4 linked regions of the Notamacropus eugenii genome follow. The protein of the gene in region 3 purifies or fractionates together with the protein of the main gene of each other region. This does not show direct contact. Links are inferred from orthologs where the notes say so. Each region holds a gene or a part of one and is shown on either strand. Other genes may lie near its edges. The genes, in order: GNL3, BRIX1, NOP56 and NOP2.

Region 1 (7,769 bases), on a different chromosome or scaffold from region 3:
ACCTGGACAATCTATCTAGTCAAGGAGATCATATCTACAGAGGAAAAAAAATAATCAGGCTAACATATACTTAAGAGAATGCCAAAAACTAAACATCACCACGATGTTGGATGGTATCACCTTTGGCAACTAGAAAGAATGAACATTTGCCTAGGCTGAGGTCAGAGTTGGATCTTACAGTCTTCAATGGTATTTCCAGACTGATAGATATTTTCCTCATACCTCACATCTTGAAGAGATAAGGGTCATCTATTAATGAGCCAATCTATGGCTTACCTGTTTTATTCAAGACAAGCAACAGTTTTTTATTCCCTCCAGTCTTTGTAATGACTTGTTCCACCTGGGGACATCTACATCCTAAGGGATCTCTGGCATCCAAAACTTCCAGCAGAATATCTGAGGCCTCAATCACCTATGGGAACAAAGTTTAGAAACATACAAATGCTTGGAGGACAATACGTCCAAATTTTGTTTTCAACAGAATCACTCCCAGTTCCTCTACCAACCTCGTCACCTTCCTTCAGTTGACCCAGTTTGACAAATGTTATTATTAAAACGAGACTCTAGAACCAAATATTACAGGCATAGACTAAATGTAGAATATAGCCAGATCTTTCTATTCATGTTACTATGGCCTAAAATCATATCTTTTTTGACTGCCACATCAGACTTTTAATGCATACTGAGTTTCCAATCTACTTCAACTCAATAAATGGGTTCTGAACAAGAAATTGGCTATGATATGCTTAGGAATAGAGAGCTGCTCTTCTAACCATTTCTAAATCACAGCAGCATTTTCAGTTATCTCAATTTTCCATCTCTTACTGACGTGACTATTTGTTTAAGATGACTCCTAATTGGTAGGTCAAGAATGTATTCATACTACAAATATTTGGATATCCCATCATGAATGTGAAAACTTTTCACCTTTTCCTACATCACAGAAGTTAATACGAATCTTATCTTTTTAAATATTAGTCAAGAAAGCAGCTATTCAGTGGGGAAAACCTAGAAATAAGATCTCAGGTATTGAAGGATTTTTTTCTCCTGATCTCAGTGGGAAGAACAAAATATTATAGAGCTACCCACACGGTAGATAAATTAGAAAGGAAAAACTAAACTTACTTCCTTTACTTAACCTCTACAAAGATCAAGAGGGACAAATGTCAGCCCCATTCTAGGAATCAAGGACACAGGCCCATGAAAGGAGTGCGCCTCTCTAGTCTATTAAGCGTGAGTCAAACGTCCCTTCCAGCGACATGTATGATCCTAGGAACCTTTAACAGTCACTTTTAACATATTAAGAGAAAACCGGCACCTATTGGGAAAAGTACCTTTTGAAGTTCTCTACAAAATGGCTTTTTTGAAACCTGCTTGACTGTTCTGCGTGACAGCTTTGCCTTTTTTCCCACAAATTCCTAAATGATGCAGAGAGAAAAGCAGGACAAAAATCAGTATTTTACAGAATGACGTAGGGAATAAAACACAATGAAAAGGCTGGCCATTTTTTACTCTTGCACGTTCACGTTCCTCTAATAACACAGTGAACCCCGTAAGAAACTAGCCTTTCCCCCCACACGTCTCCATCCCTAGGAGTCCCTGTCCGAGTCATCTGGGCTTGGGCGATCCTTGCCCACCAGGTCTCCTGCAGACCCTTGGCTGAGGCCCTCTAAGTCAGTTGGCATTGGCCAAGGGCGGGCAGCGCTGTGCAGCCCGGGCACCCACAACCCGGGGGGGGGGGGGGGGGGCACTGACCCCTGCCCCCCAAAAGCAAAGCCAACCCTACCGCTTCCGGGGGCTGGGTCTCCGCAGAGGGAACGTCCCTGTCCTCCCTTTTCCGCTTCTGCCTCTGCTCCTTCAGCTTGCTGAGCTTCTGCTTCTCCTTCAGTTCTTCCAGCTGCTCTCAGGCCCAGAAGAACCGAGTCAGGGCGGTGGGACGCCCCCGGGACCGCGCCCCCGCCCCCCCCTCACCTGCCCCCGCCCCCGCCTCACCTGCCCCCGCCCCCGCCTCACCTGCCCCCCCCCCCCCCCCCCCCCCCCCCCGCCTCAGCCTCACCTGCCCCTGCCCCCACCCCCGCCCCCGCCTCACCTGCTGCTTCCGGCGCGCAGCCTCGCGGAGCAGGGCCTCCTTGAACGGGGCGCTGCCGGGCACGCCGGGGTCCTTCCTGGGCCTTCGGGCACCCCCTTTCCGGGCCGCCTTCCGCGCTTTGCGGTGATGCTCCCGCACCTGTTTCAACAAGTCGTTGGGATGGGCTCGGAAATTCCCGAGGTCCCGCCTGCTCGGCGAAAGCAACTTAACGACCCGGACCGGGCCAGACCGGGCCGGACCGCCCCGCGCCGGGCACGTCCCAGGGTGATCAGTGCCCCCCGGAGCGGACCACGACACCCACCTTTCTCTGGATCTTAAACCGCTTACGGCACGTCATGCGCTTACTCGCTTTTCTTAATTCTGGGAACAAGACAATTCAGAGCCGGGTCAGAACCGGGCCGGTGCTCCCTCGTACCTCCGGGGCAAGGCCCAAGGCGTGACCTGACCGCGCGGCCCGGACCGTTCACTTCCCTGCCTTTCGGCCCCTCCGCGCCCGCAGACGAGAGCGTGGCGCGGGGGTGGCTCGATGCGGGCGCTGCCCGGCCTGGCGGGCCGACCACGCCGCAGGGCCCGAAAACCCACCGAGAAGGGGGAAGGGCGAACCCAAGGGGCGCCTCGGCCCAGCGCCGGAGCCCGCCCGCCAGGCCCGCCGGCCGGGGACGAGCGCTCCGGGGCCCCGAGGCTCGGCTCGGCTCGGCTCAGCTCAGCCCAGGCCGCCCCCGCCCCGCAGGCCGCCCGACCCCGCCTCGCAGGCCGCTCCCGCCCCGGCCGCCCCGGGCCCCGCAGGCCGCCCGCCCGGACCACGGACACTCACTAGGCCGCTTCATGGCGCTGAGGAGGAAGCCGCTCCGCGTCCGGCCGGCTCGCACACCACGTGCAGACTGAGGCGCCGCGCCGTCACGACGTGCAGACGCTGCCGTAAAGCGCGCCCGTGCCCCAGCGTCCGCCCCGCCCGCCCGCCCCGCCCCGCGCCAGAACCCGGCCGGGCTCGCGCTCGCGCCCCCGCGCCCTTCGCTCCCTCCGGCGCGGCCCTGCCCCCTCACCCCAGGGCGCGCGCACGCGCACGGTCGCGCGGGGCCGGTCTCGCTTGGCGGCCGTGCGGCTGGCTTTGCGGCGGCGGCGGCGGCGGCACCAGGAGGGAGTCGGAGCCGAGCCGAGAGGGTCTGAGAGCAGGAGCGGGCCGAGCAGCGGCAGCGCCAGCCTAGCCGTGGCGGCCACGGGACGGGGCGCGGCGCCGGCGGTCGGGGACCGCGGCAGGGGCTGCAGGCGGCGGAGCAGCTGGGTAAGGCCGGGGCTCCGGGGAAGCGGCGGCCGCCGAGGAGGCCGCGGCCGCCCGGACGGGCCCCTTTGTGTGGCGGCCCCGGGGACGGGGAGCCCGGCCGAAGCCGGGGGGCCGCCCGCCGCCGCCCGCTCCCCCGGCCCTGCGAGGCGCCCCGCCGAGGACAGGGCCCCCCTCCCCCACCCCCGCCGGGTTCGGGGTCCCCCTCTTCGGGAGGGCCCCCTTCCCGCCTTCCCCCGAGATTCCTGAGTTTCCTAACTCTTCCCGACGCCCCCCTCTCGGGCTCCGGCGCCTCCAGCTTCTGGTTCTGTGAAATGGGGACGAGTCCCGCCCGGCCGGGCCCTCGGGGCCCCGGCGCTCCGGATGTCACCGGGGGGATCCCGGGGCTGGGGAGCCCCCCGCCCCCCCGGACCCGGCCGGACCGAGGCAGCTCAAATGGTGCGAAAGTTGAGAGTTCCAAAGAGCCCGCCACCGGCGGCGGAGACTCCCCCCTGCTGAGCGGCTGGGCCGGGCTGGGGTCTGGGCGGGGGGCGCCTCCCGCGTCCCGTGTCCCCCCAGCTCTGCTTCCCGGCGGGGGACCCTCCTGCGGCATCCCCAGAAATGAGCTGCTCCGTCCTCTCCCCAGAATGCTTTAAGGGGAAGGGCCGGCTCCGTGCTGGGAGCGTCCGGGAGGGCGCCCGGGATTTGAACCCAGAGCTTCCCGCGCGGCGGGGTCTGGTGAAAGATGTTGGAAGGAGGGGCGCTGCGGGGGGACGGGGGGACTCGAGAGGTGCGGGACGGTGAGGGGCCTCCATCTGCGGGGTCCAGGCCTCGTCCCGGTCCAGCTTGGTGCCCCGCGCTGCACCGGGGCCTGGGCCCCCGGGGGGCAGGTTGTCTTGCGTGGGTCCCCTTGGGAATCCCGCGGGCTGACTCCGCAGGGTGTCGGCGCGATCTTGAGGTTCGTTTTGTGAAGAAAGTGCTTGTGTGCGGAGGGGTGCGCGGTGTGTGCGGAGGGGCTCTGAGGGGTCTAAAGTAGAGCTGCTGCCTCTGAGGGGGCTGCGGTGGTGGGAGCGGTGCAGGCGAGTGCGAGAGTGCCCAGGCTGCTGGGCCGCCCCGGGCTCTCTGCCCCGGGCTCCGGCCCCCGCCCCGGGCTCGCTGCCCCGGGCCCCTGCCCCCTGCCCCCCGCCCCGGGCTCGCTGCTCCGGGCCCCGGCCCCCGCCCCGGGCTCGCTGCCCCCGCCCCGGGCTCGCTGCCCCGGCCCCTGCCCCCTGCCCCCTGCCCCCCGCCCCGGGCTCGCTGCCCCCTGCCCCTGCCCCCGCCCCGGCCCCCGCCCCGGGGTGCCCGGCCCTCAGGCAGGCGGCACCCCGCTTCCCTCTTAGCCCCCAAGTTCCTGGCCGCGGCCCGGGCTTTTTGGACGTCCAGAACCGAGCTCCAGAAACTGCCCTTTGGCACCGTGGGAACAGCACCCGCGAAGGGTTCCACATTTTCTTAAGCTGCATAAGTAAATAGCCACTTTTTAAACAAGAAACGTACTTTTTCGTGGACACTCCTGGTTTTTGAAGGTGCCTACAGAAAGTACTCTCAGAAAGTAGAAGTTTGGAGGTTGTCCTCAAGTGGCTTTCCCCCCGTATTTTAAAACTTAGGCCTCAAGTCATATTTTCTATAGACTTACCTAGTTATGTCCTAAAAACCGTAGCCGGACAGTTGGTTAAAGAAACGAAGTTGATCCAAGCACCTCTCGGTGACTGAAGATTTCTCGTTACTCTGTGAAGAAACCTTTTGGCAGGAATCGGTTCCCTAGGTGTTAACTAGTGTTCCTTTGTGCAGCTCTCCGTGGCATCCCTCTTCAGCAGTTCTGCTTCAGTGCTTGCTGTCTGTTCTCGCTCCTTTTACTTCCTCTGACCCTTCCTTTTTATTTTCCCTTTTCTGTCTGTTCTTTTTCAGTTCTGAGCCTAGTAACAGCTCTGCCGACTCAGCGCTTGTAAAGCTCTGCCTTCTCCCACTAGCTTGCCCTGGCCTTCAGACACAATGAGGAGACTGGCTTTTCGAGGCGCTGGTTGTACTCTGGTAAATCTGGTAAATCTCTGGTCCTTTACCCACCCGCTTCCTTTCTCCTGTCTTCCCCTGCTCGCCCTTCACTGCTGGCTTTGGGCCGACCCTTTAAGGAGCCCTTTCTTCTCTTCATCGGACTCCTGGGATTGCTGTTTTTGGATTGCATCAAGAGTATTTCATTATTTTTATGATATATTGAAAGTTTATCCGATTTTTTTAAACTTCATATTCCTGACCTATTTATATGAAATACCTTTTACCCCATTTAAACATTCCACACCTAACCGTAGACCTGTTTATACAGGAACCAGTACTATTGGGTCATTTTTTAAAAAATACCTTTACAAATCACTTTGAGTAGATAAACATTAAAAACTCAAAGTGTAGACATTCTTCCAGGGGAGAGTTGTGAGAATCCCCCATTTTCCTCAGTTGATCATTTGTTTCTGCCCCTATAAGAACCCAGTAGAAGGCTTGGCTTATAGCCTGGCAGAAACTTTAACAGCACTTTTCCCCAATGTTATTGGCAGCCAGGGTGTTTCTCCTTATGTTCTGACTTTTCCTAGTTTCACAGGAAAATGGAACGTGAATAAGTGGTCTAGAATCTTTAGTTTTAGAGCAGGGTCCTTGGAATCTCAGTTGATACTGGGATCTTCCAATTAAGTTAAATAAGCAAATATGAAATACTTCCTCCCTCCACCCCCCTTTTAAATTTGTCAGTCTCATCTGTCTTTAGCAGAGATGCAGTTAGTAATTACAACTCCCATGGTAGAGACGAGTATCTAGCAACAGCCCTGAAAGTTAAGTAGAAATTCAAATGCTGTTTCTTCTGTCGAGTGAAAAATTACAATAAATGACCATGTTATTTGTTACAAGTATGAACATTAACTAGAATTTTCCGTTATTAAACAGTTGATAAAACCTGTTGACCCTCAAAGGTCATTCCTAAGGCCTAACGTCAAAAAAGACCAATATATTTTCACTTCCTAATAAATACCAATAATAACGTAACACATTTGTGAAATACAGCATTTGTACTTTGGTCTTTTGGAAGATTGCTCTAGGTGGGCACGCTGCTGGCTGTAAAAGTCTCATCAGCAGGCAAATAGCAAAAGAATACAGTTATCAGGAGGAATTTGGAGTTGAGACAATCTCTGCATGGTTTACCGTTTAAATGCGGGCCATACGACTTAGTTGTCTTGGAGAGTGTTTTATATTGAGAGTAGGGTGTTTTCTGCCTCCAAAACAACCAAGCTGTTACTGACCTTCAACTGTTCATGACTAGATGTCACTGCCTTTTGTTTGATTCATAAGCAATTGACTTTTGTTTTAAGCAACCAAGTCGTAGTTGTTCTTAACATGATCTGTATTTGTGTTCTAGAATCTCAGGAACAGTTTATAATACCTCCCTTCTAGATATTATCCATAATGGCTTTGGCACCATGATAATGTTACCAGTGGAAACATTTGTTTGACTTTATTTAGAGAGAAGGAAATAATAGGGAGAGATGCCTAGATGTGTGTCCATTCCCTCCACCTACCTGTCCCATACCTGTGTCTCATCCTACGTGATTCCTATCCATGTCTCCCCATAAATCCTTCACTGAACATTCTAGAGGCCACCTCTGAACATCTTGGGCCGCCCATCTGCTCTTTCATTCTTGATACATTGTTGCCTCCATCTTTAATCTCCTAGGAGAACAATGGTTTTAAAATCTTTTGGAAGGCTGCTGCACGGTGCTGGACTCCTCACTGTAGACTAAGCGTTGTATTCCTGGGTTTCACCCTCCTGCCAAGTGATCCTTAATCTTTAGTTCCAGAATGCATGAATACAGTAAAACCTTACTAATTTGGTCTCAGTGAGGAAGGGCAGTCTGAATTATAGACTTTTTAAAGAGGTACAGTTTTGATAGTTCCAGCTATGAATAAGAGCAAGCCAAACTGCACTTCTGTGGATCCTGCCTGAATGAACAATACGTAAATGTTGCTAAAGGATTTGAGAATAAGTAGACAAAATATTCCCTAGTCCTCTGTAGTCATGGATGTGCTGTTCATTTGCCTAAGGTTTAGCTTAGCCTTGGTTGAATCAGTCCAGCTTAATGAGCTTTTACTGTATCTGCCCCACTGCAGTTGATGTGCAGCTGAAGGTTGCCTTTAATTAAAAGCATTGTTCTTGCAATGAAGCTTTTCAGTCATATAGCCCAGCACCTTGCACTGAAATGACTTGAGTGTTGCTAAACTTTTTACAACTACAATGATGTGCCTTAAATGAATCAAAAGCTTGGTAGCAAGTGGTCCCCAGAGGACTTTGCTCCCAAGTCCTCAATTTAAATATAAGAACATTACTAATTGTTTTATTATAGAAGAAGT
Region 2 (7,293 bases), on a different chromosome or scaffold from region 3:
CAATATTAAGCTGCTATGGAGCTAAAAAATTTACCTGCCCAGAGTCCAAAATAATCCTGAAGAGTTTTTGTGATTTTACATCTACATCAAATGAACTATATGATATTTTACATTTTTGCCATTTCTTTAAAATTCCAAAACTGAAGTGGAAGTTAATACTTTAAAATTCTGAGTGCAGGAAAATGTATTAAACTATTAAAAGGTTGCTTTAAAAAACAACCATAAGCATATTTAAAAATAATGTTAATAAGTCATTATAACAACAATGTAGCTAGAATTAAGCTATTCAAATAACTTCAAAAATTAAAAATCTGGGCCATTTTCAAGTCTTTTGGTTATTTCAGTTTTAATTCCCGAGTGATTAATATATTTAAAAAGATTGTAATTACCTCTGCAAATATGAAAAGGGTCATAAAAACACCTGGTATTTTTCAAAAACATTCTAAAATTTTAAAACGCACCACTGACTTCTGAGTAATGAATTCTCGTAATTCTAAATATCATTCCTGAATTGACGAGTTCTTCATATTGTTATATCACGACAGTAACAATGATATACCTGGTAAAGGAGTTGAACCAAAAATTGTCAAACAGTCTAGAAGGACTGTCAAATTGATTCGAAATGTTACAGATTCTTCCTGAACAATAAACTCTTGAAATATTTCAGCCTGTAAAAAAAAAGAGGTATATAAATAAATATAAGTATGGCCATTTATACTAATGAATTAAACTACTCTACATATAGTTCCAAAGATTTCACACTCCATGTATTTGAAAGTAGATCAGCTTGGCTGTGCCATTTACTACCTAGGAAAACTTCAGCAAGTCCCATTACCCTCTGGGCCTCAGTTTCCTCATCTGTAAAATTAGGGGGTTGTACTAAACTTACAAACAATTCTGATTCTTAAGTTGGCATTTATTAGGTCCCTGAATTCCAATACCCACCAAATTGCTGTATAAATTTAATTTCTGGGCTGCCAGGCAAAAAAGAACTCTCTTCTAGCTCACTTACACAAAAATGGTCCAACCAATGCTCTGGAGGCATCCACTCTCTCTGCAGAGCCCCTAAACACAAAGGAGGTAGCCTAGGCTACGAGTGACCTTCATCTGTAAAAATACATGATTAATTTCTGATTGCCAATATGCCACAAAACCTATTGTGAGAGTGAGGAGAAGTTTTCACACTAAGATACTGTTAATTGATGAAGTCATTGAGAATAAGTTAGATAATAAGGCCAGAAGACTGCAGGTGGACTCAACCAATCAAAAGAGAGACAGTGGCCTTTAGAAAATCAGTTTTTGATAAAGGAACCAAATCCACAGCTAGCTGAAAGTAGCCAAGAAAAATGACCTAGAGTTACCTGGAGAAGGTTTCCTTCACTGTGCTTGATTAATGAACCTCATGGATATAAGCAGACACAGCATAAAATTATCCCTCCATTTTCTAACATGGGTCCTATGTTAAAGCATGTTTGGGAGGGGGAATCACACTAAGGGGGCTTACATAATGAGCATGTAGAGAAGATGGTGACTTAATGGAGAATGGACCAATCCATCTCCTGGTGGGAGGATCTGTCTTGAACTAACAGTATATGGCTCATCTCACTTCTGTATTCAGCACTCTCTCCTCCTGAAAAGAAGGCGGGGTGCTTTGGTCAAAGTGTTCAATTCCTCTGAACTCTACTGTAATAAATTTTCCTTGATACCTTTTTAGTGTCAAGAGTGTTTCTAACACCTATCACAAGCAAAATTTCTATAAAACAAAGATACCTAAGCTTTATCTAAAAACCAGATATTTCAAAAAGTGTTACAATCAACAATACAGGATAGGGAAAGAACTTGGACAATCCTTTCAGCTAATTTTAAATTTCGATCTGTGAATATTATGTAGGATTCCTACAACACTGGTGCTAGAAGGGATCTAAGAAGTCATGTAGTCCAATACCCTCATTTTGTAGACCACAGATGAGAAGCTAGAAGGGACCCCGAAGGTCATCAGACCCAAACCTCTTATTTTGAAGATGAATAAACTAAAGCACAGAGAGATAAAAGGACTTGCTTGTGACTTCTGACTCCCAACTTCAGTGCTCTTTCCCTAGTACCAATTTAACAGATTACCCATTCACAACAGATGAAGAATGAATAGTGTAAGAGTATGCTTGCCCTCGTACCTGAATGAATGCATTTGCTTGCAGACACTTTGCATTTTCCACTGTAACCTTGATTCCATTTGTTGTTGCAAAACAGGTAGCATGGTCTTTAAAATGAATAGCTTTTAATATGTTTGAGAGATTCCTTACATTGTCAAGGCTGGCAACTAAAATATATTGATCGCTTCCATCTTCAGTCTGTGTGGTAAGTGGCATTTTCTATTCCACATAAGTTTCCTTCCACTGGGTTTTCCTAATTTAAACTGGAATTAATCAGCTGTCTGCCTTGGTAACCTATAACAAAAATAAAATCTAATTTGAGTTCAGTGACTCCAGAAAAGAATTGCTTCAGTTGTATCCCCCTCCAAAAATGTTTTTTTTTTTTTTGCCAACCAATTTTGTTTTCTTAGCAAAATGTATAAGCACAACTGTTTACCTCTCACTCCACCCCCTCCAACTGCAGGAGAAAAAAAAATGTGTAATGGAAACATTACTAAATTAGAAATCAAGAGGCCTGGACTAAAGTGTGAGTTGTGCTATTAAAGGACTTGTGAAGTTGGGAGTCACTTCTCTGAGGATGTTTCCTGAAAAATGCCCTAACTGACTCCCATAGGGCTGTTCTAAGAATAAAATAATATATTCACATTGTAAAACATTTTCACATGATTTCACAATCACAACTTGGATTTTTTTTTTGGGTGGGGGGGGGTGCCAGACCTGTGAATTCATTAGTTTGAAAAAGTCCTGGTGCAGAAACTCACTCTAGAGATGCAGACAGACAAGTAGTCTACAATTTATAATTGTAAAAAGCTGCTTGGAGCACTGAAAAGTGAAGTGACTTGCCCAGGTTACTTGGCAGATGTGTTTCTAAGGGAGGACTTGAATCCAGGTCTTTCAGATTTCCAAATTTAGTTCTCTATCCACTACTCCAAAGTATCTGATGATAGTATAAATTTTATACAAAACATTAAGTCAGGGGAAGTGACTTGTCCCAAACTACATCTCAGCTGAGTCAAAGCCAGGATCTAGGCAAGTTCTCCCCATTCCCCGTGAAAGGAACATGGGGTTTAGAGCTGGAGTGATTCCCAGAGATCGTTCAGAATAAACACCGTATTTTACAGATAAAGCGGAGGTTGCGCAGTGTAGCTAAAACAAGTCACTTAATCTTTGTCTGCTTCAGTTTCCTCATATAAAATGAGGGTCTCCTCATATAAAATATGTATCCTCGTATAAAACGAGAATAAAAATAAATGAGAAAACAAAAAAGAGAGTATAAATATAATAAAAATATAATATGAAAATAAATGAGAAAAAATAAAAATGAGGATATAAATGTAATGAAAATAAACATAATGTAAAAATAAATGAGAAAATAAAATAAAAATGAGTCCGAATACAATAAAAATATGATATAAAATAAAATGGGAATAAAAACACGTCCCAGGGTAGGGGGAGGACCAGAGGCGACGCTTCTAAACCGCTTCGCCCGTTACTACCGTTATTATCTTTGTAACAGGCCCAGAGAGGTTCGCCGGTTAAAAAGCTGGCACACCAAGGATCCGAACTCAGATCCAAGCTCTTCCCCAGTATTCACGTGGCGCTCCCAACGGAGCACAGCGCTAGGGCGGGTAAAAGGTTCTGTCTGTCTACACCGCCCCGACCCAGGGAGGAGACGGAACACACCGGGGGGGTCCTCCGGCTCCTCGCTTCTTCCTTTCCGGCGCGGCTCAGGGGTCCCCTCCTACGGAAGCTTTTCCGGATCCCTCCCGGTGCTGGGTGCTCCCTTCTCCTCCTCCCTTTCTCTCGTATCGACTCATCTAAGCGTTATTTCCACCTCCGGCTCCTCCGGGGCAATGGCTGTTTGTCTCCGCGGCCCCACTCCTAGCTCAGTGCCTCACTAGCCCAAATATCCGTGGGTAGGAATAAATTCCCAGTCCCGTACGATCCTCGCAGCGTTCCGAGAAGCCTCGGCTCCCCTCCGCCCCTCCAGTGCAGGCCGGCCTCAGGTGTACCGTTTTTCCCGCCCCCAAGGCCGGAAGGAAGCCCCACTTCCGGCTTCCGAGGCGGACGGGAAGTGTCGGAGTCTTGGCTTGGTTCTACTGCGCTTGCCCAGACCCCACGACTACACAGTGCGACAGCCGTAAAGGAAAACCGGGGTTGGGTTGAGCTACGGAGGAAGCATGTGCTTCCACCCCGCCCCCTTCCCCGCCCTCTGCCCCGCCCCCTGCCCTGCCCCCAAACGCTTTTGGTACCATAGAGACGGGAAAGAGGAGAGAGAGGCAAGGCGGCAAGGAGTGGAAGGCGAAATGAACAACGTGCGACCGCCGGAAGAAGGGGGTCTGGGCAAGATGGCGGCCGTCAAGAGGAAGCGGCATGGAGGAGGGGGTCCCGAGGCGAAGAGGCCTAAAGGAAAAGGAAAAAAGGCCGGAGCGCCGGCCAAACAGCCCCCTCCAGCCCCAAAAAAGGCAGAGGAAGAGGAGGAGTACCGCATCCCGGGCCCCGTTTCCAAGGTACGAGCGGCAGCTGAGGGTCTCGCGTGGGAGCGTGGGCCCCCGCGTGACCCCAACCCGGTGTTCTCCCCGCCAGGGTGCGGCGGCCTGGCGATACTCGGCGCGGTGCAGCCCTCGGCCCCCCTGTCCGCTGTCAGGCCGGGCTCGCGGCGGCCCGCGCACGTGGTTGTCGCTTGGGAGCGCAGGCCGAAGGGCCTGTCAAGTCAGCCTGCACTTATTAAGCGCCTACTGCATGCCAGGCGTTGTCCTAAGCATGTTTGTTTTAAACAGTCCCTGCGCAAGGAGTTCAGTCCACACGAGTTCAGACAACGTACGAACAGCTAGGTGCCACGGCCTACAAAAGAGCTGGATTGGGGAGGGGCGTGGGGGGGCACGAAGGTGTGTGGGCATCCCTGCCCCTTGTGTCCGGGCTGTTGTTAACCCCAGTTCTCCGCTGAAGAAGCGGGGGCACCCCGAGAGGAAGGGGCTTGCCCAGGGTGGCACAGCTAGCGTCCGAGGCAGGATTTGAACTTAGGTCTTCCCGCCTCTGACAGGGCTCTTCCCTGCCCTGACGGGTTGTAGGCAGAGGAACGTTGGGGTTTGTTTAAGGTGGTTCTGTTACTGGACCACGTCTTACTGGACCACCGCTGAGGTTCGAGCTTGACGGAGGTTCTGGAGAAATTCCAAAATAAGTCAGGATTTCTGCTGTGCGTCTTCCTTCGGGGCCTCCTGGGCCCTAGATGTTGTGCTCGGGCTTAGGGATTTTAAACATCCATCCAGAAATTCACGGTCACGGAGGACGAAAGGGCAGCTGACATCCGGGAGTCGTGAAAGGTCCGCTGTGGCCCGTGAGCTGGACCTCCAGGGGAGCCAGATGCGGCCAGGGTTTGTGGAAAGGGCAGAGCATGTGAGAGGGGGACGCTGCAGTGTGGACCATTGGGGGTGAATGGGTCTGGAGAGAGAGAGTGGAGCTAGTGTGCAGCTCACTTAAATGGTCAGATGTGCTGCGAGTGCAGAGGAAGAGGAGGGGGAGAGGCCTTTTAAATTGGCCTTGAAAGGGTGTTGGGATTTCTGTAGGGGAAGAAGAACAACTTCAGTTGGAGAAGGTGACTGACAGGAACAAATGTGTCAGAGTGGCACAAGTGCCATGTGTGTTTTTTGGGGAAAAATAGAGTTCAGATTGGAAAGAGTGAGGAGTTCATGGTGGAGAGTTGAATTAGGAAAGGGAGGATGCAGTTAGACTGTCAGGAGTTAAGGGGCTTGGTAAACGATGAAGCACCAGGGGAGTGATGTGGCCAAAGAAGAACTTTGGGAAAATTAATCTGGCCATGGTGTTTTGATATATTGAAGAGCTGGAGCTCTGGAGGCAGTGTGAACAGTTAGGAGATTATTGACCTCATCTGGGTGTTGACACTGAGAATAAAAAGGAAGATATGGAGATGAAGGAAAAAATGGGCAGTTTGGATGTGGGGGCTTACAGAGTAAGAGAATTTCCTAAGATTTAGTGCCAGAAATGTATGGTAACATACCCAAAAGAGTCTGAGGAGAAATTTGTTTGAGGGAATAGAAATGAGGTGCATTAGTTTGAGGTATAACAGGCAGAAATATAAGAAGTTGGAGAGACTGGAGATTTAGTTATCCATCTACAAGCATTTATTAAGTTTCTCCTATCTTTGAGGCACTATTTTAGGCATGGGGTACAAAGACAAAATAGTACTTGCCATCATGAAGCTTATATTCTATTTGAGAAGACTGTGTATACAAAATAGATATGGGGAGGAGAACTAGCAGCTGGAGAGATCAGGAAAGAATGTAGAAAGTGGCACTTGCTCCAAGTTTTGTAGGCAACAAGCTGTCAAGAGGCTGTTGGACTCGAAGACTTGTTCTAAGGTCTCTTCCAGTTTTAAATCTGTGATTTCAGGAGGACGTAAGAAGGTGTTTAGAACAGCCATTGCAAAGGTACTGAGTTGAGAAGTGGAGTGTTGGCCTCCATCAGCTTGGTTGTGTGATGCTGCATATCTCCAGTCTTCAGCATATGAACAGGAGTGGAAGCAAGTGGCAGATGATGAAAATAATCCATGGATAGGTTTGGTAAGCCATGAGGATTGATAGGGTCAGGGGTCAAGGAACAGTATAATGCTGAACTGGCCAACTATAAAGTGGAGATTGGGAAGGGGCAATAAAGTGGAGCCAAAGCAGAAAATCAGAGTTAGATAGCTTGAGAAAGTATCGAGGGTTGGGATCAGAAGGCACAGGGATGATAATTAGTAGGTTTAGCAGAGGTAAGGGAAAGATGAAATTAGAAGAGGTTAATCTGATAAAAGGGATTTTGGAGTTTTTGATTCTGAATGGTGGTAGTTGAAACTATATGCTTGGAAGAATATCTTTCAAGTCTTCTATCACCAGTTACCTGTGAAGATATCTCCAGGTGGATAACCTGTAGACAATTCAAATATAAAACAGAGCTCATCTTTCTCTGCAAATCTGCTCCTCTTACTAACTTACCTGTTTCTTTTTAGGGTCCTGCTTCTGGTCTTTCAGGTCTGCATCCTTTTTCTCCATTTTTTTCTCACCCCTCATGAAATTCATTTGGCAAGTCTTGCTGATTCTGTGTCTACAGTATTTATTGTAGCCATCCCCTTCTCCCCATACCT
Region 3 (7,434 bases):
TTGGTAAGGCTCCCAGCATGGGAAATCAGTCGGGCACCCACCTGGAAGGGGAGAAAAAAAAAGGTTGTGGTCAAGAGTATTCTTGATCCCACCAAACCCACTCTAACTCCAAGGAGAAAACAGGCAGCTAGGTGGAGCTACGAAAGTGACAATAGCTGTAAGGCAATAGTCCCCCCCTAGCACACACCCCAATGACTGACCGACTCCCCGATGAGTGCTGACAGGCTGGGGGCCACCTGGAACATCTTAGAGCTCAGATATTTGTTCAAACTCTGACGATACTCAGATAAAGATACCACTCGACTTGAAAAACTCTCAATATTGATCAGGTCAATGGGAGAGATGTCCATGCCTGGGAAAAACAAGGAGGCAAATTAGTGCACAACAGAATATCCTCTTCTCCCCCAATTGACCCACAAAGACCTCAACCAGAAACACTGACCCATAGAAGACCGAGATGCATCCAGGATGGCCCTGGCCTTGGCTTCATCCATTGTCAGCTCCTGCAGAGCTTCTAGTTTCTCCTCATTCAGTTCTTTGCGATTGCCAATAAGCCGGGCCAGGCGACAATATGTGGCGTTGTCACTAACAATCTTTACAAGCTCAGGAAAGTGATAGCCATACCACTCCCTGAAAAAAAGAGATGATCTTAAACAGAAAGAAAAGGTAGTAGTCCAGAAAAACCACACCTCACCCACAGCCCCAAACCCAATACTCTGGATTCCCAAGTCTTTACTGTCTCCCCTTTCACAATACAGCTAGAGCACAGGCAAGCTCCTGGCTGAGGTGTATAAGAGGAAGATCTCTCTGCCTCCTTTTTCTATACAGTCTGTGCAAAGTACAACACAGTCTGTGGTAAGCAACAGGAGGTGGTAGGGCTGGAGGAACAGTCCAAAATCCAGCCCCTGCTTAAACATCTGCCCCACCAAACCCTGGAGCTGACCTGACCCGCATAGAGAAGGTGTTTATGTCTTTGTCCAGCTGGTCAAGAAGGCTGATAGACTGGATGATCATGTTGTCCACCCTATTCACATTGAATTTGACCTTGGCCCGAGAGTAGCTGTGCCCTAGTCCCAGTTGGGCTTTAGAAGCTGAAACTTCAGTCAGACCTTTCACCAGAGAATGAAAATGCAGACGAACTCCTGGGAGAAAACAGGCAGAATAAGAAACTACCAAGCAGAACCCTTTTAATGTCCTTCAGAGCACAGGACCTGAATAGGATCTGGTACCCAATCAACTACCATATCAAGGCACATGACTTCCACGTGATTCACCTGAAATCTTACCTCTAAGGATTTCTGCCACTACACCACCTGTCTGGCAGGGGTAGCCCAATTCCTCTTGGATAGCAGCCCCAATCTTAGGATCCCCAACACCCAGCAAAGCTTTCTTCTTCTTAGCCGGCATGTTGGTTTCCAAGAAAAGCCGGAGGTCCTCATGGAGAATGCCTGTGGATAAGAGCATAGGTTAGAAGGGCACAGGGGACACACAAAAGATCACAGAAAAGAGGTGAGACCACTCACCTTCAGATACTGCATTAGCATTCTCTAGAGCACTGTGGGCGGACTTAAATGGGGAAAAGGCCACAAGCCGGACGATACTGTGAAACTTCCCAATGTTCAGCACACATGCCTCCACCTGTGGAGGGAAAGAGTGTGTAGGGCCGCTACAGTTGGGGGGGTCGGGGTTAAGGGCAGGCCCGATTTCCCATTTCCAGGGAAAAGCGGATACTAAACGTGCGCCCTGGGGCACACGGCTCCCTTTCCATGCTGGCTTCCCCTTTCCGCCCCAAGAAATGCAAACAAAGGCTAGGTTTTAGATCTAAGACGAGGCTGAGCACGTGGCCTTCCCTCCCGCGGACCGGGGCAGACACCGTGCTCAGAGACTAGGCGACATCACTCTGCTCAGGGGATTGACAGATTTTAATGCTCATCACAGCTCGGCGGCCGCTGCTGCCCCGGGGCTGGGTTGGGGGTGGGGACCCCGGCCCGCCCCTGCTTCTCTCGCCGGCCTCACCTGAGGCAGCAGCAGGCTAATCTCCTCCACCTCCTTCAGCGCCAGCAACGCGTAGCCGGCGGCGTGCTCGAACAGCACGTGCAGCAGCACCTAGGAGAGACCCAGGGAGAAATGAAGGGGGTTCGCGAAACCCACCTGCTCAGGCCCGGCCCGAGCACATGGCCCACCTCCCCGCTGCCCGCCCAGCTCCCACAGGCCGATCCCCGAAGGCCCTCCGGGAGGTCCCAGGGCCCCATGCTCCGCGAGCATTACGCTGCCCTGCTGTCCGGCGGGGAGCGCCCAGCCCCAGCCCACAGAAAGGCCGCACGCACGCGGCCCAAGGTTCGGCGGCCCCTTGGCCTCTGCCGGGCTGCTCCCCACCTCACACCCGTGATAGCTAAGTAGGCTCTAGTTCCACCGGCCGGATGACTCCCTCCACCCCCCAGCTGCACCGCACGGCGACCCTCGACCCCTGCCCCATGGCCCCCACCCAGCTCACCATGGCGGCAGTCTGAAGCCCCAATCGCAATGCGGGCCTCCCGCCGGACACGCAGGAACCCTAGCCTCACTAGCCCCGCCTCTTCCGGATGGAAGCCTCCACTCAGAACCCGAGGAAGGCACCATTAATTAAGGAGACCAAGGGGGAAACTGAAGAAAATGGCCTCGCCCGGAAGTAAGGAAGGGTCATAGGCGCCACCGCGGCCTCCGCGTGCGCGCTGCTTCCCGCCTTTCCAGCGGCGCTGGTGGGAGTGGGGCGGAGCTTTCGCAGACCAGCGGCCCTTGGGGGAGCGTAGCTGCGATCAATCTAATAGGTATTAGAAAATGAGATAACTGATGGGTCTCTGAGCCACGTCCACCTACGGGAGAGGTCAACACCCATGCTCGCAGGCTCAAGCACCACCAGCCTTTACCGCGGGAAGGAGGAACGGGGCAGAGCAAGTCTAACTCCAGTTCTCGCGATAACCTGTTGGCGTGCGTGAACTGTCCGTACGTTTACCCTCGCGCCCCTTACGCATAGCCGGCCTGCTTCCGTTTCCGGTCGCATATTTTCCCCGCCTCCTTCCGAAGGTCACCGCCTGGCAGGGACTGACCTGCAGTAGTGTTCCCACGTCGCTCTGCCCACTAGCGTTGTCCAGACTTGCCTCAGGGAGACGCTGGACGGCCCCGTTTCCCCAGGGCTGCCGGCCCAGCCCAGCGAGCCCGCGCTCGGTGGCCGCGGGACACGTGGCGGCAGGTCCCCGCGGAGCACAAGCCGGACGGTCCATTTATTGAGCGCCTCCTGTGCCAGGCCAGGGATGCTTGTGCCAAGGCCGGACCGAAACAGCCCCTGCTTTCCAGAAGGAAAAGCAGTGTGTTTGTGTCTGATGGCAGCCTTACCCAGGTGGGGAGATAAGGGCTAGGAGCGGCCAAGGTGTGTTGTGAGTCTTAGAGAAGCCCAAGTGCCTTTGGGGAACGTGCGGCCTGATAGGAATCCTGTGGGAAAAGGAATGCCACGCGTGGTGGCAGGCCTCAGAGCGCCGTGTCGAAGGACAGGACGGAAGCGATGCCCGAGCGTGGTCCTTGGGGCTCATGCCAGGGACGGAAATCCTTGGGCCAGGCGCCCCTGCATCTGTCCTCGACCCAGGGAATTACTGAGGCGGGGCTGGGCTACCTCCAGGGACGTGGCCTTGGGGCTTTGGGGGTTCGGCTCCACCGCCTGATGAGGGAGGAAAGGAAAAAAAATTGTTTATATGAGAACTGTTGTACGTTTAGCGGCAAGAGCAAAGCAGATTTGCAGTTTCATGTGCAGTCATCTTTTTTATTTACCGTGTTATGGAAGTGTTTGTTTTGTTCCCGGAATTTATGAAAATAAATTAAGATTTTTAAAAATAAAAAGCAAAGTGTACAACTACATACACATACAAAGCAAATGCTGGTTAACCTTTGAGGGGAAGACACAGCAACTGAGGGAACCAGTTACATCTTCTGTTAGAAACTAGTACTGGAGACGAGTCTTAAAGGAAACCAAGGTTTCCAAGAGCCAGAGTTGAAAAGAAAACATGTTAGAAAGGGATGTAAAGTGCAAAGGGGCAGAAGGGAGATGAGGGAAAGGGTACCGGTGTGGAGTGTGTGTGTGTGTGTGTGTCTTATTTAACAAGAAGGCCTAAATTACTGGACCACAGAGAGTGTGGAGAAGAGTAATGTTGAAAGGAGTTTATATTTGATCCTAAAAGTAATAGGGAGCCACTGTATTGAGTAGAGTGGTGACAGAGTCAGGCATATGCTTTAGGAAAATGACTTTGCTTGTGTATGGAAGATGATTCTAGTGAAAAGGAACTTGAGGTAGAGAGGCCATGCTGGAGAATGTTGCAATAGTTCAGACTTGGACGGGGGCAGCTGAGGGCTGGAGGCCACAGGTTCCCCCGTCCTGGACTGGGGTAATGGCTGTTCTGTGCCAGTATGAAGAAATCACCTACACCTGCTTCTATGCAGAGGTGAGCTGTCCATTAGTATGAAATAGAACATAGGACAGATTTTTTTCCACGTTAATTGGTTGTAGATAGGAGGGATGTTGAGGAGAAACAACAAATTTGGATATTAGATAACTTACTGCGTATGTGGGAAGTTAAGAATGAGAAGGCAAGGATGATCCCTCACTTTTGATTGATTATGGATCTTATTTATTTAGGAGGTTTCTTTGCTGTTCAAGAGTTTTATTCATCCACAATGTTATTTGCAAATGGAAATATCTGGAAAGCCTTATTATACTTTGATACTTACTTCTTGGGTAATTTTTGGCCTTGGCTTTCTTATCTGTAAAATGGCAAGGTTGGATTAGATGACTTCTAAGTTTCTTTCAGTTTTATCTCCATGATCCTGTAATGGAAAACCCTCTTCAATTTATATTCTGTGCTAGTCATCCTCCATGGCAATGGCAAATACTTTTGATGAGGCCATAGCTCCCTGTTTAATGCTTTCCTTCCTATTAGTAACCAGATAGCATGTTATAATGAACTCTTTAGGTAGGGCCCTAAAAAGTCAGGCCTAACAGCTGAATTCTAGAAAAAGACTGTTGTAAAACTGTTTGGATAGAAGGGTGGTTATTAATGTAAGTGAGAATTCAGTAATGATGAAATTACACTGTTCGTCAGATGGGCAGCCACTTATGTATGTCTCAGGAACAGTCAATCTCCAAGCATTTATTAAGCACCTACTTTGTTCCAGGCACTGGGCTAGGTGCACAGTAAATCTAGTACAAAGAATGAAACAGTGCATACACAAAAAGATGTTTATACAGTCTAATTGGGAAGATAAGAATATTTAAAAGTACATACAGAAGAAATATAAGGAGAATAAAAATAGTTAAACACTAGTTATTGTGGTAGAGAGCAACTGGAGTTGGTTAAACAAGGGAGTAACATGATCAAGTCTGAGCTTTAAAGAAAATCACTTTGGCAGCTGTGTGGGATAGACTGTAACAGTGAGAGTCTTGAAGCAGGGAGACCAAACTGTGAGAGGTTGTTGCAAAAGTCTACACAAGAGATGATGAGAGTGAGCCAAGGTGATGGCTATGTGAGAAGAGAGAAGGGCTGGGATGTAAAAGATGGCAAGATTTAGCAGCTGATTGGGATGTGAGGTAAGGGAGTCTGAGAAGTGGAGGATAATGCTGAGATTATGAACCTGGGAGACTGGGAGGATGGTGATGCCTTCAACAAAAACAGGAAAGTTTGGAAGAGGGGAAATAGGTTCAGTTTGGGATGTATTACATTGGAGATATTCAGTTTGAAATGTCCATGAAGTACTTAGTAGATGTGGCAGTGATGTTTAGAGGAAGAACTGGGCCTGACTGTAAGAGTAACAGCTTCCATTTCTATAGGTCCCTAAGGCTTGCAAAGTACTTTCTTCCCCACAACTCTATGAAATGGGTATTATAAGCATTATTATCATTTTTTTGAATAGATGAAGCAACAGGGAGTGGTAAAGTGACTTAACCAGCATCACCGAAATAGTAAATAAAGGTGGAATTTAGTATCTAGATCTAGACCTGGAACGGACCATAGAGGTCATCTGGTCTAACCCCTTCACATGCCATAAGTCACCCAGTTAGTAACAGAATCTGGATTCAAATTCAGGTCCCTTGACCAGGATCAGTGTTCTTTCCATTACACTACTACCAACACAGCCAAGCTGCCCAGGAAGGGAGGTAGGCAGACCTCTCATTCTGCACAGCTTCTCAGGGGTTTAAGGCCAAATATAAGATCCCAGGAAGAAAAGATGACTAAAATTGTAGACATCGAGGATCACTATAACCTAATGAATGGGTTAATAATAAAGCATTTGTTAAGGTTTTATTGTGTGCAAAACATTGGAGATACAAATAGAAAAGACAGTTTCTGCTCCCAGGGAGCACACATTCTAATGGAAGCTTCTGGTTCAGGTCCTATAGAAAGGTCCATTGGCAAAGAAGTTGGTAATGCATCTTCTTTAATGGATTTAAATGGATATAATCATCCCTGTATTCTGATTTTGAACAACTTGACAATGTCAAGGACTTTAGTATTGAGAGCTTTCTTTTCTGGGTGTTTAGTAGAAGGGGCCGCAGATCAGACTTTAAGCGGCAGAAGCATTTACCACATCCTACCTCTATAGGGATTGTTTGCCAGGATGATGGATGGCTTCACGGCCAGGTGGGAAGCAGGATCAGTGCTCTAGGGGAGGACTTAGGGTTCCTGGGCTTACCCACTCATTGGTAACAGTTGGTCACTAGTCAGTGGTAGCAAGGAAGGTAGGCCCCTTCTCCCCAGGGATTACAGCATAAGCCCCCAAATCATTCCTTTCCCGCTATGGTGCCTATAATATTGGGATCCTATGACCTCTGCATGTGCCAAAAGAGCCAGAATAATTGAGGGAGGGTTGCCATAGGACAGATTATATGAAGACAGACTGGAAATCGTGGGCAGTGTCTCCTTAATCTGCAAAGAATCATCCATTCCCTCAGCCATTATTTATACAGTACAAACTATATAAGATGGGAAGGACAGCCACATCATGAAAGGGACTGAGAAGGAACTGGCATTTTCTCAATCCCTGACCTGAGAAGTAAAGGCCCTCTTTCCCCTAGCCTTATCAGGGGAAAGCTCACAACCATTATAAGCCTTTTGAAGGGGATCTTAATGGTGAAGTAGATGGGTCAGATTTGTTATACACTCCAAGGTCTTAAATCCTTTGGCAGGAAAAAAATTGCTGGTTAAAATGCAATTTGCAAAGTGCAATTGCTACATGATTTTATTTAAATCAAGCACATTAGTCTGCTGACTAAACTTCATCAGTGCAACCCAATGGTAAAAATAGCCCTTGTTAATTTTTAATAGACTTAACCCCTAAAATGATCTTTTAATAAAAGAGGAAAAGGTCCTATATGTACAAGAATATTTCTAGCAGCTCTTTTTGTGATGACAA
Region 4 (7,891 bases), on a different chromosome or scaffold from region 3:
GGTGGTAGGGAAAATGCATAGAAATAAAATTATTGATAGCTACTAGGAATCAGAAGTTAGGTCTGAAGAAGCTAAAAGGGATTCACTGTACTTACTATACATTTTTCCTCTAATATACAAAAGAAGACTGGACTTGAAGCCAAGAGACCAGGGTTCAAATGCCATTTATACTCTTTGCTGAAGGACCATGGGTAAATCATTATCTCCAGTTTCCCCATCTGCAAAATGAGGAAACTAACACTTGTACTACCTACCTCAAAGAGTTGTTATGAGGGAATACTTTGTAAATCCTAAAAAAGCAATCAAGGCACGCTCTAATTTCTTTTGAAATGGAGATAGGGATATACCTTATTGACAAGAACACTACACTATAATAGAAGACAGAGGGACCTAAAGAGAGGGATGCCTGAAGATGAACAAAAGCAACAAAAACAATTCAATCCAATTCAGGGAGTTTTGAACCCTGAGAATGGCTCTCTAGTGGTATCACTGGTACTCTCATTTACTAGGTGGAGACATAACGAGTCTTTTGGAGAGTAAATGCAGCTTGTCTTATTTTTTTAAATCCTGTCTTGGCCACCAAGGTAAATGGATTTTAAAATGATGGAGCCTTATTCTATAATGGAAAAAAGGAACTTCTACATATTCATCTGCCTGGTTTTCTTCTCTAACTCTTAAGAAAGAATGAGCCTGTAAAAGGTCTGGGGACAAGATAAGAAATGGTGACTGGTAGACTGCCAGTGGTGGTCAGCTTTCAGGCAAACCACCATCTTCTCCCTGCAAAGGCATCTAAGGATCACAAATAATATTTTTTTTAGGGGGGAGGAAAGGATGACAAATGTGCTAATCCTCTAACGTTTTTTTTTTTGGTTTTACCAACAAAATCACTAAATAAAAAGAAAAGGAATAAATAAAAAGAGGAGGAATGAAAGCTGAAGACAGATTCACCAGAAAAGACCACTCTTTAAAACACCCAAAAGTCATAGCAAGAGATGCAATATTATTTCTCCTATTACTTATTATATTCCACCTCACCACCTCTTACACATCACCATCCTTCTCAAAGCCGTCATATCAAAGATACATACTAATATGCAATACTGAGGAAAAGATACACAGCCCCTAAACTACCCACAAATAGTTGGCTCCAAACCAAAGAAAGTTGGCTCTTCTGCTGTACTATTGTCGTCAATAATAACTTAAGGGTCTTATACTAGTCCAGGGAGACACAGGGAAGCTTATAACGTCAAAGCGAGATGACAGTACAAAACTATACCAATCAATCAACTAATATGTATTGAGCATCTTACTATGCTAAATGAATTTTAAGGACTTTTAAGAAGCTTGGAATCAGAAAATCTGGAATCTATTGACAAATTCTTCATTGCAAGGCCTTGGAGAAGGCTCTCTTTAGGCATCAACTACATCATCATTAAGAAGGAAGAGAATTATACATTTTAACATTACTACAGCCTTGAATTTAAACAGCATTTTTCTTTTAAAAGGCTCAAAGAGCTACATACACACACATATTACTTCACTAATCCTCAAAAGATCCAGAAGCAAAGGATCTGGGGAAATTTACACTACACTTCAGAAGTGGGGGAAATCGAAGCAGAGAGATAAGTAATTTGTCTGAGGTCACACACAAACAAGAACTCAGAATTCTAACCTACCATACTGCTACTAAGGGATAAATAAAATGATGATGCTAGTGCCACCAGAGTATCACCCTATCACAAAAGTCTAAGTAGAGAGACCCTCTCCCTTGATTTCCCCACTAGAAATAACAGTCACACATTATTAGAGTCTCAATTTCTTTTCCCAAAGAAGACACAATCCTTTTATATAGTTTTTAGAAAGAAACCCTTATTCATCAATCCACTCAACAACCACTTATTAAGCATCTGGTATGGACAAAGTCCACTGCTAAGTATTGGGGAATATTTTCCTTAACCCAGCCCACTTGATAGAAGAGAATGAGAAAATAATTTTGAGTTCTAGATTTATACCTTCTTATTTCAACATATGGCTTTAACATGCTTGGAAAACTCCTGTGAAGAAAAGATGCTAAGACATATGTCAGCAAGGATAAAAGTTTTTTGGTTTTGTTCTCCCCACCCCAGCAGAAGAGCAATAGAGGGAACTAATGGGAATGTAAGAACCAAGTGAGTTTGGGGGGCTATAAAAAGACTAATGGCTAGAGACCACATAAACTGAGAAGTCATACAGAGAGAAATAAGGCTTGAGCTTCTGCCTATACACTTCAGTTCAGTGCCATCAAGCACACAAGGAACTACAAAGAACAGTCAAATAAGCAAATGGAATTGAAGGAATTTTTCATGTATGTCTCAAAAACTGTCCCTACTCTGTTGAACAGGAACCACTGTTCATGTCCAAACAAAACAAAAGGACTATTCCCAACAAACAGCCTGCCATCTAGAATAGCAGTTCCTGGTCCAGCATCCTCAGGATTCTAAATTAGTAGAGGTATCTTTCAAAATAGTTTCTCCTTGTGCTGGCATTCTCACTAAGAATAATGGTAAGGCACATATGGAAAAGGGAAATTGGGTCCTGGAAAGTCTGGGGTCTCTAGAAAACAGGTCAGTAATGGCCGTGGGGAGAAAACTTATCTCTGACAGAGACAAAGCCCAAACTTAAGTCATTGTTAACTCAGGGTCCTAAGGAAAGTAAGCCTTACTGAGCCCCAACTCTGAACTCTCAGCATCTGATGTTGCCTGGGTCCCCAAATTACAATTCTCTAGTGACACACACGGGTTACTAGAATCTCTCAATCAGAAGATTTACCCTAAACCTCTACACTCCTAAGAGCAAAGAAAAAAGCTCACTCCATACTGCCCTAAACTTAGTTCACAGTAGTTACCTTACAGTAATGGATGCTATGTATTCAAATTTCTTTCTGTTTGTAAAAACACGTCTTGTTTAGCTTTACCACAAAATAGTCACTAGCTTACTCTACCAAGGTATCTCAGAACACTGCTTCTTTCTACCTGTCGGTCTTACAATCTAACAATTATAAAAAAGAATCGTACAATTCTTTCACTATGAAAGAATCTTTTTTTGGCTAGCTCTATATTAAATTCCAAACCTAACTCTCAAGCAAATTCAATTCTCAATTTCTTTCAAACTGAGCCCCAACTCTGAACTCTCAGAATCTGATGTTGTCTGCGTCCCCAAATTAAAACTCTCTAGTGACACACACTAACTACTAGAATCTCTCAATCAGAAGATTTACCCTAAACCTCCGCACTCCTAAGAGCAAAGGAAAGAAGCTCACTTTAAGCTGTGCTCACTCCAATAGCAGGAAATCACTGCTGAGCAATGCCACATGGGAACACAAATAGCATCTCTTTAAATGGCACTGTGACTATCAGAGGTGGTTTAACTTGGGGCTCCCAACCCTAACTAGTCTCTTGATGAACAGCCTAAAAGAGCCACCCAGACCAACATAGTGAGAATCTCCAAAAGCTAGTCTGAATACCATTTTCAAAACTGGAGGAAGTTCTAAACTGATCTACTACAGGCGGACACTTCGTATAAAGTGTCGTGCAACAACAAAAGGCATTATTAACTTGTTACCTAAAGAAAAACATTCAATATGGGTAAAATGACCTTCTCTTCCCCTCTTTATGTTAAAGGTTTCTTACCCTCTCTCTCCTCCTCCTTCTGTCCTATTCCTCCTCCTCCTCCTCAAGGCTCCCGAACTTTCTGAAAACAAAGTGTCTGTGTTAGAATGGTCAAAAAGGATGTAATTAATGAGATGTCGGGACCTCTGAGGATTTCCAATCTGTCAGCTGTCAGTCTGGAGGGAAAGCAAAATTCCTGCCTCTAACCCAAGAGAGGGAAGGTTACAAGCACAGGAATTTGGTCACTAGGAAAAGGATTTAATCCCTACTAAAGAAGTTGAACTATCTTCACCATTTCAGCATGAGGTGAAAGGCACCCCCACACACGCACCCCACAAGAGCAAAGCTTGGACACTCAATTCCTTCTCACAGGCACCCAAGGGGCAGAAGCCAGGAAAAAAGGAGGTTGGGAAGGAGGGGGAAAGGGGACAGTCTGGTCACCTCCCACCTGTGAGGACAGAAGACAAATCTGGGGACAACTAGGATGGGGGCTCCCCAAGTTCTCGTGCCAGGAGGCAGAATGCCTAGTGCAGGCCTAGCCACTCCCACGGGCCATTCCCCCCCACCCCAAGCCCCTGGGAGGACTTTGCCCCTCATCTGTCAAGGGCCCCATTCCAGGAAGCCCCTCCGGCTCCAACCTCAGCCCCTCCCCCCCACAGGGCCCCCTCTGCTCTGCTACACCCCTTCTTCCCCCTAGGCAGCAGCTAAGAGTCTCCCCCCACTTGCTCACGCCCCCTTCCTCTGAGCCCTTCTGGGACATCGGATCCCTCCCCTCCAAGAGCCCAGCTCCAACACCCACCAGAAACCCACCCCCTACACCCCCACTCCCACCATTCCCCCCGCCCCCCACCCCTGCGCCCGCTACTCCACAACCACTTCCGGTTCCGGGAGGGGGGGAGAGGCACACACAGAGCCCCCCCACCCCCTTCGGGACAGGGAGGAGGGCACACGGAGCGCGCCGGCAGCGGCGGCGGCGGCGCCGCGAGACTCACCCGGCTCCAGCGGCTGCAGCAGCAGCAGCGGCGGCGCGAGAGTCAGAGAGCGGCTCGGGAGGGGGCGGCGCGTGCCTTTTGCCGGGAGGAGGCAGAGGGGTGGGGGGGAGGGAAATGGGATGAGGGGAAGTGGAGCTCGAGAGAGCGCGCGCACTCGGGGCGCTGGGCGGACTGACGGACCCTCCTGCCCCCCACCCCGGAGGCGTGTGTACTCACGGACGGACGGACACACACACCACACACACACACACACACACACACACACACACATACACACGCCCCGCTCCACACACCCGCAGGGCGGGGGCGCGAGGCACTGGGCGCCCCCCCTCCTCTCCACTCACCCGGAAGTGCTGCTGGCGCTCCTGCACTGAAGAACCCAGATTCCTCCCCTCCCCACCCCCCTCCCTCCCCCCTCCCCCCACAGGCCTGGAGAGGAGCCGCTGCGGCGAGAAGGCGGGAACACCGGAAACGAAGGAGGGGTGGGGAAAGGAGGGAACTGGGGTGGGAGGAGAAGGAGGGGAGGGTGCAAAGGCCCAGTCACTTCCGGGAGCGACTAGAGCGATTCTGGTAGTACGGGCACCTGGGGAGACGGACACCCCCGAGGCGGAAGTCGGGATGAATGAGGGCGGAAGTGGCTTCGTCGAAGGGCAACATTTCAATGGTCAGAGGTGAACGTGACGTGAACCGGAACTAGCGGGGGTAAGTAAGGGCAGAAATGAACTCACTATCCCTAGGGGGCATTTGGCGCGTGGGGGCGGGACTTCTGGTTGAGGGAAGGAGGATCTTCGTCTCATGAATTATGAAGCAGTCCTCCTAAGGTAAGTGGAGGGGGTTGGTGCGTTAAAGGGCGAGGACCTCATTTCAGTTCGGCCCACGTTCAAGGCTGTATATACTTGGTCGTGGTCTAAAGACAAAAGAGACTAGCCCTGCGCCTAAGGAGCTCCCGTTCTCTTGGGAGGGTGTAATATGGCCTGCGACCCGTGGAGCTGCGTATTTGCGCCAGGCTGACTTAACAGCTTCGGATGTTGACCCCCCCCCCCCACTTCTCGTGGGTTGGGTGCTGGATTTGGTGCCCCATACCCGTATTCATGACTCTCGTTGTGCTTTTGATTCTATGTTGTGGTGGTTTTCAGTGAGAACGTGCAAAAGTTGTAGTTCTTAAAAAGCACGCTTCAGTGACTCTTAGAAGTACTCAGCCACTATTTGTGTGGGGAAATCATGTTTCAATGGTCATTCAAGTCCCAGTGAAACAGGGTGGTGTGTGTTCGTCCAGGCCATCAGAGACATGGTGACAGGACTTGCATTGGACTTTGTTTAAAGGGAGGGAGGGCTGTGCAGGTCACCAGCCTCACTTCTCCTCCAGAGCCATCTGAATCCAGTGACCAGATATTCATCAGGATGACTGGAGATGACCCAGGATGAGGCAGTTGGGGTTAAGTGACTTGCCCAAGGTCACACAGCTAGTGAGTGTCAAGTGTCTGAGGTGAAATTTGAACTACTCCTGCACTGGTGCTCTATCCACTGCACCACCTAGCTGTCCCAATGAAACAGGATCAGTTGCACTGGTTTAAAAAAAAAAAAAGAGGAAAACAACACAGAGAACTGACAAAATATTACTACAAAATAGCCTGATTAATTCCCAGAAGATAAGCACAGACCTTCAGAGAACCCCGGGTTTGGGAGCTTTTACTGATTCCTTTACAACGTGGCATAAGCTTTTGAAAGTTGGAAGAAAAGCAAAAAAAAAAAAAGTTGCTAATTATTGTTATGAATTAAAAACTGCTTATGGTGGGCAAGATAATACAAAGACAGATGAAGATTAGGAAAAGGTAATGTTTTTTTCTTATGAAACTCATCTTTTTCATTCAAAGTTTTATACCAGAAGTCCAGATAAACCTGTAAAACACGTGCATCTTCATCAAACTGTTAAACCATCCATTCCTCCAAAAAAATATTTTGGAAATCTTTTTACTTCATCAGGAGTGAAATTCTTATCCCCAATGTAGGAATGATGAATGCTGGCAACTATATTATACTGAGAAGCTGAATTGTTCCAGAAGTATTAGGAAAACTTACCTTGTATATATGTCACAAAAGGATAAGGATTTATCTAAGACAGAGATAAACATGTTTCAGTGACCTGGAACTGACTTATTGAAAACTTATTAGTTTGACTATGGTTTGTGACAGGTTTTATTTTTCTTGCTTTTTCAATCAATGCAAGAATTGGGGGGCAGGGTGTAGGAGGGAGAGAATTCAGAGATGAAGATAAAATTTTAAAAAACCCTATAAGCAGTAATCAAGATTAGATTTGGGGAAATGAGCTATTTGTTAAAGTTATGCTTAAAATCCAGTGTGATAAAAGTGTGACTTCCTGTTAAATTAGAGAATGTGTCAATATCTTGTGAACTCAGTCCAAAAACATCTAAAACAAATAATTGCAGCCAAAGAGGGTATATTTTATATTAAAAACATTAAAGATATAAAATTTTGTAAGAATTATTGCATCACTCAATAAATTTAAATTATTTAAATCACTGTAACTACAAACATAATGAGGATACATTATAAGAGGAGAACCCACAGCTGTTCTCCTAATTCTGAACTTTGATCTGCTGGAAAGTTCAGAGTGGTTTGGGAACTGAGGGAAGGACCACTGCAATGTTTTCTTTTTCAGATCACTAAAAGGCTGGTGACTCTCCTCCCCTTGCTGAAGGTGTGTCTTAGACATTTCAAGTGGGAAGAGTTAAGTTCCTAGTGGACCCTAGAGAGGGGTTAGATTTGTGCTGGGGAGTGCCTCCCTCCTTTCTCCCCCTTCTCATTTTAACTTGAGAGACTTCTAGGGCAGTTAGTTGTCGTGCGTGCCCAGGAAGTGGACAAAGATACGTTAGGGGGAAATAAAGCTTTGGCTACCAGAGAGGTGAACAGAAGAAGGCTCTGAGGGTCAAGCATCAATTCAGATCTCTATCTGTAATGATGAGGGCACCAGCAGAGCTGAGACTGCAGACAACAAAAGCGGCAATGGTGTAAGCCTGTAGTTACTTTGCTAGGGAAGAGTCTCATGCTAGGATGAATGTTTTGGCAAAGAAGATTGAAGAGGAAAAGATTCAGCTGGGGTGTTGGGGGGATATCAGCCATCTTGAATCAGGGAGACGTGATCACTCAGGGCCAGCGAAACCAATTTTTCTCAAATACTGAGAAAAAGAAGCCATTTGCTGTCAGGTTCCTCTTCTCTGCCTTCTTTTCTCA

The links.
Region 1: the proteins of NOP56 (region 3) and GNL3 purify together in Homo sapiens (affinity purification with mass spectrometry; 4 studies listed by BioGRID and IntAct, with this or other methods). This does not show direct contact. The link is inferred for Notamacropus eugenii from reciprocal best matches to the Homo sapiens genes NOP56 and GNL3.
Region 2: the proteins of NOP56 (region 3) and BRIX1 purify together in Homo sapiens (affinity purification with mass spectrometry; 3 studies listed by BioGRID and IntAct, with this or other methods). This does not show direct contact. The link is inferred for Notamacropus eugenii from reciprocal best matches to the Homo sapiens genes NOP56 and BRIX1.
Region 4: the proteins of NOP56 (region 3) and NOP2 fractionate together in Homo sapiens (co-fractionation; 3 studies listed by BioGRID and IntAct, with this or other methods). This does not show direct contact. The link is inferred for Notamacropus eugenii from reciprocal best matches to the Homo sapiens genes NOP56 and NOP2.

Annotation. Positions count from the first base shown.
Region 1 is NC_092872.1:1,727,990-1,735,758, forward strand, and holds the start of GNL3 (guanine nucleotide-binding protein-like 3), read right to left. Parts: upstream 3,004-7,769; 5' UTR 2,917-3,003; coding exon 2,904-2,916; intron 2,450-2,903; coding exon 2,391-2,449; intron 2,228-2,390; coding exon 2,090-2,227; intron 1,898-2,089; coding exon 1,787-1,897; intron 1,419-1,786; coding exon 1,335-1,418; intron 413-1,334; coding exon 277-412; intron 226-276; exon of another isoform or gene 149-225; intron 1-148. Other genes in the region: PBRM1 (protein polybromo-1), read left to right, coding at 5,376-5,423, 7,763-7,769. UniProt on the Homo sapiens protein: May be required to maintain the proliferative capacity of stem cells. Stabilizes MDM2 by preventing its ubiquitination, and hence proteasomal degradation.
Region 2 is NC_092875.1:426,527,710-426,535,002, reverse strand, and holds the start of BRIX1 (ribosome biogenesis protein BRX1 homolog), read left to right. Parts: upstream 1-4,279; 5' UTR 4,280-4,330; coding exon 4,331-4,660; intron 4,661-7,293. Other genes in the region: cell cycle checkpoint protein RAD1, read right to left, coding at 560-668, 2,172-2,366. UniProt on the Homo sapiens protein: Required for biogenesis of the 60S ribosomal subunit.
Region 3 is NC_092877.1:46,627,993-46,635,426, forward strand, and holds the start of NOP56 (nucleolar protein 56), read right to left. Parts: upstream 3,012-7,434; 5' UTR 2,498-3,011; coding exon 2,495-2,497; intron 2,107-2,494; coding exon 2,017-2,106; intron 1,639-2,016; coding exon 1,524-1,638; intron 1,449-1,523; coding exon 1,287-1,448; intron 1,143-1,286; coding exon 944-1,142; intron 873-943; exon of another isoform or gene 734-872; intron 631-733; coding exon 443-630; intron 353-442; coding exon 201-352; intron 42-200; coding exon 1-41. UniProt on the Homo sapiens protein: Involved in the early to middle stages of 60S ribosomal subunit biogenesis. Required for the biogenesis of box C/D snoRNAs such U3, U8 and U14 snoRNAs. Part of the small subunit (SSU) processome, first precursor of the small eukaryotic ribosomal subunit.
Region 4 is NC_092874.1:194,961,419-194,969,309, forward strand, and holds the start of NOP2 (28S rRNA (cytosine(4447)-C(5))-methyltransferase), read right to left. Parts: upstream 3,017-7,891; 5' UTR 2,981-3,016; exon of another isoform or gene 2,954-2,980; intron 1-2,953. UniProt on the Homo sapiens protein: S-adenosyl-L-methionine-dependent methyltransferase that specifically methylates the C(5) position of cytosine 4447 in 28S rRNA. Required for efficient rRNA processing and 60S ribosomal subunit biogenesis.